2 linked regions of the Caenorhabditis elegans genome follow. The protein of the gene in region 1 purifies or fractionates together with the protein of each later gene. This does not show direct contact. Each region holds a gene or a part of one and is shown on either strand. Other genes may lie near its edges.

Region 1 (6,349 bases):
CAATTGTTTTCCAGATTTTTCCAAGTAGCAACCCTTGAGTGTGCCCAATCATTATGCCTATCCACACACACAAACATTAAGTAGTGGGTAGGCTAGAGTCTTTCATGCACAAGCAAATATACACCGATTCGTCTTTTTTCCCTCTATCTGCCACATAGATAAAAGAAAGAATAACCTTCTCCTCCCCCACAACACCACCACCACTAACGGCGTCTTCTTCGTCTCAGTTTTCTTTGCTTTACGTAATCTACGTCTTCTATTTTTTCGGGGTGCTCTCTTCGGTTGGAACTATGTGTGAGAGTAGTGTGTTTCGTGTGTCTGTGTGAGTTTTTCCTCATCTTTCTCTCTCTTTTCGCGCGGAAAGAGGGCGCCCGAGGTCGGAGAAAAAAAATGAAAGGCAGAGAGGATGGAGGACACAGAGGAACGAAACGAAAATAACTGAATCGATACATCTGTGGGGTTGGCGGTGTTGAAGAGAAGAAGACGAAGAAGAAGATGAGGGGGTGGAGCTCTCCGTGCACAACGGCTTCTCCTCCCCCATCTTTCTCTCCCGTGCTTCTCCTTTTACTAGAGTCCGGCGTTGTGTTGTGTGTGTGTGTCCCCGCCTTTTTCCGGAATACGAAAGTAGGTCTAGTTAATGGTTAACTACCTCTCTTGCTCCGAAGCAGGCTTTTTCTTTAATTGCTTCTTGCAACTTTTCTGAAGCTCTACCTTTCTACTGGGAACTTGTTTTCTTTGAAATTTAGAGTTTTTAAAACTTCCTTCAGTTCTCATTCTCATGCTTTATAACCATAAAAGTGTACATCAGAATAAATCCTAGATCATAAGATCATTCACATTAGCATTTCTTTTTGGAATGCTTTTTCCGAGAAAACTGCACTTTTGAGGATTTTATCTTCGAACTGAAAATTCGAGTTGTACTTTTGAAAAAGTTTGTAGCGATCTACCTGATGTCAGTTTTATTTTAGATTTCCTGCACAGTTTCTTTCATGAATTTATAATGTTCAACCTTTAGTTCTCTCAGTTTTAAGGTTTAATGCAAAGTTTTACATACAGCCTGAGGGTCTGTGGATTTTTTTGTTTTAATTGATAGAAAATACCAGATTATACCTATGAAAAATAGTTTTTAAATTTCAAAATTTGATGAAAAATCCGAAAAAAGTGCCAAATTTTGCTTATAATCGAAATTTTTCTAGAAAACCGACCAAAATATACAATAAAGATAAATATTTTGATTAAAAAAAACTGTATTCCAACTGCTGAAACAAGGGTGGAAATTATTTTTACACTTTTTAATTTATTATTACAAAATCATTAGAATTTATAATTTTTCAACAGTTTTATCTGATCTTTAAGTGGTATTTTCTTTCATTTAAAATAAAAAATCCACAGGCGAAACTCCAAGAATTCAAGAAGCTCATTTTATCGAAACTTTCAAATCTTGCTCACCGTGATTCCCAAGTGTTTTAAATCTAAAGGAAAATAAGTCTGGTTTTTGAATATTTATTTTCAGTTGTTTTAATTATCAATTAATTAACATGTTATTCCGAATCTAAAACTCAAAATTTTCAGAAAAATGTCGTTGTCGGGGTTACGTAAGCAATTCAACAAGGCGAATCAATACCTTTCGGAGACGATGGGCGCCGCAGAGCCAACAAAACTTGACGATGTGTTCAATGAAATGGAGAAAAATGTGGATACAACGTATAATTTAATTACGGATCTCGTCGCCGGAACAAATGAATATCTTCAACCAAATCCAGCTACTCGAGCAAAAATGGCCACACAAGTTGCCCTGTCAAAAGTTCGTGGAACTACAAAAACGTCACCGTATCCACAAACAGAAGGAATGTTGGCTGACGTCATGCAGAAATATGGACAACAATTGGGTGATAACAGCGATTTGGGAAAGGTTTGCCATCCCTTTTGGAATTTTAATTTCTGAAAAAAAACCCATTTTTTAGCAACATTTGTCAATATTTGTTCTGTGAGCAATTTCTGAAAATGTGACCAAAATACAGCAAAAATAAAATTACTATTTATTTTGTTTATATTAATAATTTAATTGAAACATTAGGTTGATATTAGAAAACCACTACTTCGGTATTTTTTAGATTAAAATTTTTTGCACGGCTTCAAAATCTTCTTAATCATAATTTTAAATTACAATTTTTTTCAATTCCAGAGCCTAAACGATGCTGCAGAAACGTATCGACAAATGGCTGATATCAAGTATCAAATGGAGGATAATGTTAAACAAAACTTTCTCGATCCATTAACACATTTGCAGAATAATGAGCTGAAAGATGTGAATGTAAGCTTTTTTGCGTAAAAAAGGGTTTATTATTAATTCATTATTCAGCACCACCGCACAAAACTGAAAGGACGTCGACTTGACTACGACTGCAAAAAGCGTCAGCAACGACGTGATGATGAGATGATTCAGGCGGAGGAGAAGCTGGAAGAATCAAAGCGACTCGCTGAAATGTCAATGTTCAATGTGCTTAGTAATGATGTGAGTTTTACGATTTTTTTTTGGAAGTTTTTACTATTTTCCCCTATTAGACTTGCTATTTGACATCGGTTACCCTTAGTTTTATTTTTAAGAAGGATTATTCTCAAACTTACGAATATAACAAAAGAAAAACGGGAAAAATCCGTTAAGATTTCGAATTTTTATGTCAGAAAAATCAACGAAAAACCTTCAAAATTTAACTAGCGAAATCATAGGCCACGAGGATTGTTCGAATTTTGATCCTGTTCTATACTATGTTTTTAATCAGTATTTTATACAATTCCTTTCAATATAAGCTGTCAAAGTTTAATTTTTTTTTAATCTGCTGAAATTTTTTTCCACTTCCCCTTTTAGATATAATCACAAAAAAATTCTTTTCAGGTCGAGCAAATATCTCAACTACGAGCCCTCATTGAAGCCCAACTCGATTTCCACCGACAAACAGCCCAATGTCTCGAAAATCTACAGCAACAACTTGGCCATCGAATCAAAGATGCAGCTGCCAGGCCTCGTGAAGAGCATGTTCCATTATCAGTTCTTGCAAATGAGAGCAGAACTCCAAGATCCAGGTTGGTATAAGCATGAAGAGTGAGAAAATGCATGTTTGTTGTGAGATTTTGAACGCTCAAAAAGACCTAGTTTTTAAAAAACAGCTAATTTCTTGAGATGCACTTTTGAGATTCAGCTGAAATCTCCAATTTCGCCAACATTTTATTGAAATGGAGCTGCCCCAAAAAGCTGAATAAACTACCAAAAAAAATGTTGAATATTGGAGGATTAATTGAAATTTCGGGCCGCTGTGGCACGGAAAAATTGGCAAAATTGAAGTTTTTTAAAGCTAAATTTAGATTTTTGTTTTCTTCTCAAAACTTTGAAACGCCATGAAAATTGTACGAGAAGTTAGAATAGAATTAGTTATTTTTAAGAAATTTTGAATTTTGAGTACAGAGATTATTTCATAAATCTACCTGAAAATTAGTTTTTTCAAAAGATACGAAAAAATATATAAAGCCGGAACTAGGCGTTTTCCATTTTTGTTTTCGATTTAAAAAGGTCCCACGCATCATAAAAAGAGAAAACCCCCTGTGCTCTTAAGAAACGGAAAAAGCACTGAAGCATCATTCACAAGTAATAAAAAGGAGGAAAACATATGAAGCACAGACATAGACATGCAGAGTCTATGATTGATTACATCGCATTATGTCTTTTTACGGCCGGAGGAATACTTTTTTGGAAGGAATATGAATGTAAAAAGATCGTTTAATGACTGATTGACACGAAAATATTGAAAAATTGAAATGTTTTCGGTGTTTTTTAAGCTAGACTAGTTTAAGTTTTTTTGAAAGTTGAGAAATTTCAAAAAAAATTATTAAAAGAAACAACGTAAATTTTGATTTTTGATTATCTTTGAAAAAACCGAAAAATTGAAAATTATTCTACGACACAACCAAAAAAACATTCTAAATTTAATTTTAAAAAAATAAGAATTAAATTTCGTTACAGTACCCCCCGCTACAGTACTCCCTGATTCATATTGTGATTGATTTTTTATTTTTTGCATGCTAAAAGCCTCTTCCAAAACATCTCTTCAGTTTCAGATCGCCTGCTCCATCGGATATGAGTCACAATTCTACGGCAGCCGCAGCCGTACGTTTTTTTGTTTCAGAAAAAATTGAAAAAAGTGCGACTTTTCAACAAAAAAAACACGAATTTTGGAGATTCAGTTTTTCGGATTTCAATTACTGAAATTTTTTGGAAAATGGTATAATTTTAAAAAAACACTTGTAAAAAGACCGGAAAATGTTTAAAAAATGTTTTTGAAACATTTATTGAAAAATCAAACTTTTCAGATATTTTTCGAGACGAGAAAACTGAAAATTCTTGATTTTTCAGAAAGCCGAAATATTGATCAATTTTCTGGATAAAATTAACCAAATATTTCAATTTTTTAGTTTTTTCTCATAAAAAACATATAATTTTTCTTTAAAAAAACAGAAGTGTCTAAACTTTTAAAGAAATTTTTCGCAAAATCAATTTCTATTCGAACCGACAAAACTAAAAATTTAAAAACGAAAATTCCAGATTTTTCGGTTTTCCGGAAATCCTAAAAATCGGAAAAATATTGGGAAAATTGACAAAAAATTTCAAACTTTTAAAAATTTGGTTGATGAAAAAAAAAAGTCAATTTTCTTCTTAAAACGGGTAAATTTTCTCGAAAAAAAACTACAAATTAAAAAAAACCAATTTTCTAAAGTCGAATTTTTTGTTTGTTGAAAATAAGTTACTTTTATAAGAGAATTGTGTATTTTCCCATCAGCATAAAAAATTTGAAGATTGAATTTTTTAAATCAATTTTCTAAATCGAAACTATTCGTTTTTCAATTTTTATTTTAAAAAATCGAAAAAGCGATACCCTTGATTAGAATATTTTGTTTTTGAATAAAAACCTAGTAATTCAATTTTCAATCCAATTTCTAATATTATGTCCAGTTTAAGATGCCACCACAAAATGGAGGAGGAATAACACAAGCACCACCATCATATCAAGGACCTCCACCAGGTGGACTTCCACCTCCACTCTCCCAGCAGCAGAAGCCACAATGCAGAGCTCTATTCGATTTTGATGCTCAAAGTGAAGGAGAACTGGATTTCAAAGAAGGAACACTGATTGAGTTGGTATCACAAATTGATGAGAATTGGTACGAAGGACGTGTGAATGGAAAAACTGGATTATTCCCTGTTACCTATGTACAGGTTCTAGTGCCTCTTAAATAAAAAAAAATGTATTTCTCCCTCCAAAACCCAGTCAATTCTTTCCATTTTTTGCTGTTTTATTGCCAATTTCTCGTTTTCTCCCCAACTCCAAAGCCATGCTCCTCATCTTTGTCTCTTGAATTTTATTTCACAAAAATATTTTATTTCCCTTTCCAAATCTCACTTTTTCTCTAGGAACCCCTGAAAAGTACTCATTTAGAAGAGAATGGGCTATGGTCTCTATGAGGCTAAAATAGTTAATTCTCCTGATCCATTGTGCCGAAATCTTTGTATTTATTAAAACACTACTTGCTTTATATACATCCACTACTTTCCCCCAGTCTGCCACACCCGATGCGTTTTCCAATAGCAATACCCTGACCCACATTACCATGTATTCTATGTACTCTCTACACTACCAAAAATGTGCATTTATCAAATCTCCCTTAAAATAGCAGCATGTTATTAGTTTTTTTAGCTTTATTTAGTAACTTATTTTCAACATCAAAAAATTCATTGCAAAATTACTTATTTTCGTAATTACTTATTTTCGAGTATATGAATTTGATTTTAAACTATTTTTTTTTTGAACTCGGAGATGGAAAAAAGTCAAATTTCTTGTCTTATCAATTTTAAAATTGTTTAAAAAAAGAAGTGGATGAACAAGAAAATCAATAAAAAACTGAAATGAAAACGAAATTTCGAAATATCCGGAATATTATATTGTCCACGAGGAGTACTGTAAACAGACACCCAGTTATGTTATTAGTGACGTCATATACTTGCACCATCTGCTCTCATACCTGTGCACCATATATCTCATCGATTTTTTTTTGAACATGAAACGAATGCAACTATCATTTCGTCCATTTTCTTCACTATGGAATTCAAATCGAATTAAAAAAGGTAGAAGTTGTTCCAATCAGAAGAAGGTAAATTAAATTAATTTTTATTTGTTAGATCAAAAACTATAAGTTTCAGAAATGTAACTCTTTCAATCTACTCCAACTACCATACCTAGCATTTCGAATTGTTATTCATCAATTAAGTATTTTTTCAGTGTAAGTTATCCCGTGGTGT
Region 2 (4,751 bases), on another chromosome or scaffold:
AACGTATAAAAATACATTCTTTGCATTTTTCCACATCGCATGAATAAAACCATAACTTTCGGAAATCTGAAAAAATCTCAAAATTATTCCAGATTGTGACTACAAACACAGAAGTGAATGAGATTGATGATATGGAATGTTAGAGTAAGCAGAGTCGATCGTCACACCAACAATGATCTCAAATTACATTCTCTTTCTCTATCTTTTTTTCGTTTTGTTTATGTTTTCAGAGTATTGAAGGGAATATCGAGAGAATTGTTATAATTTATTTCATTATTATTATATCATTATTACTTTTTCTTCTGTTGTTGTGCTCTTCGTTTTGTGCATTAAAATCATATTTTTTAATCCAATAATTTTTTTTCTTTGTCTCCAAAAAAATGAAAACGCGTGTCCATCGCGAGAGACTATATGAGTTTTTCCCTAAAAATCGCAAAAATGGAGAAACAAACTTTCAGAAAGTAATGAAAAATGTATGAGAAAAATTACCGAAAATTTAAGAGACTTTCCGGAAATTCCGCAAAATTAAATTTTTTTGAAAATATTGGAAAAACTAAAATTTTCGATCTTTAAATGTTCTCTAATAGTAAAATCGAAAAACGAACAAATTTCGAATTGAAAAAAAAAATTTTTGAATAAAATCGAAAAACCAAAAACTTTTAGATTTTCCAATATTTCGACTTTTCGAAAAAATATCTCTTAATTTTTAAAATTTTGTTTTTCCGATTTTCACTAAAAAATTTAAAAACGAAAATTTTCTGTTTCTTAGGCGTAAAAAAACAGATTTTAGTGAAAAAATAAATCTAAAAGTTTAGGGATTTTTTTCAGTTTTTCGTTTTTCCAATATTTCGAAAAAAAAATTTTTCCGATTTTTCGAATTTCTTCAACATATCACGAAAACACTAAATTCTGAGAATGCGTAGCACAACATATCTGACGCACAAAGTATCTCGTAGCGAAAACTACAGTATCCCGTTGAATGACTTCTGTAGCGCTTATGCCCATTTACGGGATCTCTCGATTTTTTTTTGTCATTTCTGTGTTATCTTTCAAAATATTTTATCGATTAATGAATAATTTCCGTAACAGCGCTACAATAGTATTTTTATATATTATAAATTACAGTAGTTTTGGCCACGAGATATGTTGCAAAATACGCATTCTCAGAAATTTGTGTACGCGTAATAAACAAAATTTGATAGAAATTGAATTTTATTGTTAATCTTTTCAATTTTTCGATTTTTTTTTTGAAAAAATTGAAAAAAATCTATTTTCTTCGACATTTCGAAAATAAATAATTTTTTTCCAAAATAATATCTTTAAATTTTCGCCATTTTTCTTTATATAGATTTTCCGAAAATTGGAAAAATTGCAAAAAAATGCCCAATGACACCCGTGGCCGGGACCGGGAGGCCTAAGAGATTTAAAAAGACAAAACACGTATAGTTAGTCGGTTTTTTCTTCTTTCTTTATATGCTTCTCGCAGGGCTTTTCCCCTTCTGCCATCGTCTTCCTTTTTTCTTCGTCAATATATTCACATCTCTGCGTCTCTCCCAATGCATTTTTCTGCGTCTCTTCTATTCACGTACTGTCTCACTCAGTCTGCCATCCGCGCAGACTCGTTATTCTATTCTCACCACCACCACCACTACTGAGGTTCTTTTATTTTTTTTTGTTTTTTATTTTTTTTTAGTTTTCTTGGTGTTTTTTCTTTCTTGAATTTGTGATTATTTAGAGAATGTCAGTTCGAGGGATTCGGATATGGCGGAGGAATGATGCACGATTTCAACCATCAATCCTTGTCGAAAAGAATGGATTAGATGGATCTCTTTTGTTTCAGGGTGGAGCTATTGCAACGTTAGGTAAGGTTTTTGAAGAAATTATTCAAAAATATTTTAAAAATTAATTTAAATTTAAAAAAATAATCCGAAAATTTGGATAAAAGTTGAATAAATTCGTTTAAAAAATATTTAGACATTGGCCGAAAAACATTTTTTTAAAATTAGTTTTTTCTCATTTTTTTCTCAAAATATTTTTGAAAATTTGAAAAAAACATGTGGTAAAATATTCCGTATTACGTTTTTTACTGATGAGAAATTTTAAAGAAAAAAAAATTTAAACTCCAGAACTTATAGAATTATTTTATCGAAACAATCCATTTTATTACGGTTTTTTAGTTTTTTTTTCAAAGGTGGAGTACCAAAACCTGAGAAATATTTTCAAATGACTCCAATTTTTCCCCTAATTCCGAATTTCTAATTATAAAAATTCAAAAATATTTCCCTGATTTTATAGTTCAGCTTGAAATCGCTTGTTAACCCATGAGATTTTTCAAACAGCGAATTTTCGCGCCAGAGACGTCATGTGTCGATTTACGAGATTTTAAATCTTGCTGATTTCCGTTTTTCAACAAGTTTCCTCGATTTTCGTCGGTTTTTGCCAATTATTTTTGAAAGTGTGTTTTTTAAAGGAAAAATTTCCAATTTTCCGTCGAGTTGTGACCTAAACATTGGAAATTTTGTTAGTTTTTTAATGATATTATGTTTAATTGGCTTTTAAAAAAACCCATTTCAATTTTAAAAAAACTTGGCAAAAACCGACGAAAATGAAGGAAACTCAATGAAAAACAGAAATCAGCATCTGATAAACATTGAAAATCTCGTAAATATACACAAATCTCATAAATCGACACATGGCGCGGAAATTCGACGTTTGAAAAATCTCATAGAGACGCAATGCGATTTCAAGCTGAAATATAAAATCAGGGAATATTTTTTGAATTTTTTTCCCTTAGATATTCGGTATTAGAGGAAAATTTGGAGAAATTTAAAAATATTTCTCATCCACATTTAAATTTTTTAAAAATTTCCCACATTTGCCAAAATTATCCTCCTCTTCCAGATTCGGATTCAACAGACGTTGAACGAAGATCATATCAAAAGATAGTTGATGCTTATGGAATACTTGGAGTACTTGCTATTACAAAAGATGAAGCTGTTCTAGTTGCTGTTACTGGTGTACTTTCAGTTGGACAACTTTATGGAGCTGATATTCTTAAAATTACAAATGTCGAATTTATATCGTTACGAACGTTTGGTTCCGTCGAAAATGTTGATTCCAGAATTATCGATGTAAGTTTTTTAAACAATTTATTAAAGTTTTTAAAAAATTTATCTGATACATTAAAAAAGATCCAAAAAAAGTAAAATTTGTAAAAAAAATGAAAAAAAGAAAATTTGTGAATTTTCAGGGTTTCGAATTCGAAAATTTGAACCTTTTTTAATATCAAATTTTGAGTTCAATTTTTTTGGGCTATTTCGACTTTTTTGAAGTTTTAGACCAAAGCATTAGGAACTTCAAAAAATCATTTTTTTCGAAAAAAAAATCCAAAAAAAATTCAGTTTTTACAGATAAACCAGTGCAAACGCTGAAAAAATTTATTTCTCCAAAAAACTTTAAAAATACAAATTTTTCACAATTGCAAATTTTTTAAAAGTAAAAAATTAATTTTTTACTTTAAAAAATGCATTTCTTACAAAAAAAAATCGCCGGGATAGCAGAAAAAAATCATTTTTACAGAAAAAAATTTGTAAAAAAGATTCGTTTTGTTTTTTCAAGAAAAAAGCACAAAAGCCAAAAAAAATTACAAAAAAACCGTGGAAAAATCGATATTTCTGACAAAAAACCTCTAAACCTCTATTTTTCAGTTACAGCGACAATTTATAGATTTGAAAAAAATGTTTGAAAAAATTATTAAAAAAATATTAAAAAATGTGTTTTTCATTCAAAAAAAAAAAGATCTTTCGAGAAAAAATAACAAAAAAAAATTTGCTAAAAAAACATTTAAAATCCTCCAATTTTTTGCAGTTACAACGACTACTTTCATCTCAAATGTTCTATTTTTCATCACTTCAATCATATGATCTCACTCGTTCAGCTCAACATCGTGATTCACATGATTGTAGTGATGCACGATTCTTCTGGAATCGAAGTCTTCATTTTTCATTTCAAAGATATGGAATTGATACGGATAATTGGTTGTTGAAATGCATGGCTGGGTAGGTAAAAATTCATGTATTTGGGTCTCGACGCGAAAATCAAATAATGTTGAGTATGTTTCTCGTGGCGAGACCTTTAAGTACGAAAAGTTGCGAATTTACATATAAATTTAAAAAAAAACTTTAAATTTAACAAAAGTGGTTTTTTTTTGCAATTTTCTAATTTTTTGAAAATTTCAATTTTTTTTAATTACAAAAAAAAGTGATTTGAAAAAATAAGATAATTTTTGTGGAATATAATAAGATTTTCAGTTTTTTTGAAAAAAAAACGAATTTTTTTTTAAATTTAAAATTTAAAACTTTGTTGTAAAAATCATTATAAAAAGCCGAAATGAATTTTTCAAATTTCACTTATTTTTTAAAAAGAATTTTACAATAATACACAAAAATAATACAAAAATCTTTATTAAATTTCTGCTAATTTTAATTTTTTTTAGAATTAATTCGAAATATTTTTTTTCGTGGTGAGACCCAGCCGAGTTCCCGGAATTACAAGATTTATCATATACATTTTTTTTTTTGAAACACCTATTGTCAAATCTTTCAAAAACATTTTTTAAAGTGAAATTCAGTATCATTTTTAGAGTTTAGAGCTAGTTATTTTTTCTCTTAAATTAATAACTTTGTCGTTAAAAAAATCATTATAAAATCCAATAATAAACAACTTTTTTTTCAATTTTTCTACTTAATATA

What was found.
Region 2: the proteins of unc-57 (region 1) and unc-26 purify together in Caenorhabditis elegans (affinity purification with western blotting, with the first as the bait; one study listed by BioGRID). This does not show direct contact.

What each region holds. Positions count from the first base shown.
Region 1 is NC_003279.8:4,673,563-4,679,911, forward strand, and holds unc-57 (Endophilin-A homolog), read left to right. Parts: upstream 1-1,572; 5' UTR 1,573-1,576; coding exon 1,577-1,912; intron 1,913-2,185; coding exon 2,186-2,314; intron 2,315-2,362; coding exon 2,363-2,515; intron 2,516-2,896; coding exon 2,897-3,084; intron 3,085-4,107; coding exon 4,108-4,162; intron 4,163-5,005; coding exon 5,006-5,290; 3' UTR 5,291-5,845; downstream 5,846-6,349. Other genes in the region: T04D1.2 (F-box domain-containing protein), read left to right, coding at 6,109-6,201, 6,251-6,330. UniProt on the Caenorhabditis elegans protein: Involved in synaptic vesicle (SV) recycling in neurons probably by regulating clathrin-mediated endocytosis. By controlling SV endocytosis, regulates the rate of excitatory postsynaptic currents (EPSCs) at neuromuscular junctions and thus locomotion.
Region 2 is NC_003282.8:13,269,499-13,274,249, reverse strand, and holds the start of unc-26 (Synaptojanin), read left to right. Parts: upstream 1-1,733; 5' UTR 1,734-1,738; coding exon 1,739-1,862; intron 1,863-2,901; coding exon 2,902-3,131; intron 3,132-3,867; coding exon 3,868-4,058; intron 4,059-4,751. Other genes in the region: cpsf-3 (Cleavage and polyadenylation specificity factor subunit 3), read left to right, coding at 93-143. UniProt on the Caenorhabditis elegans protein: Probable inositol 5-phosphatase which regulates synaptic vesicle recycling in neurons by regulating clathrin-mediated endocytosis.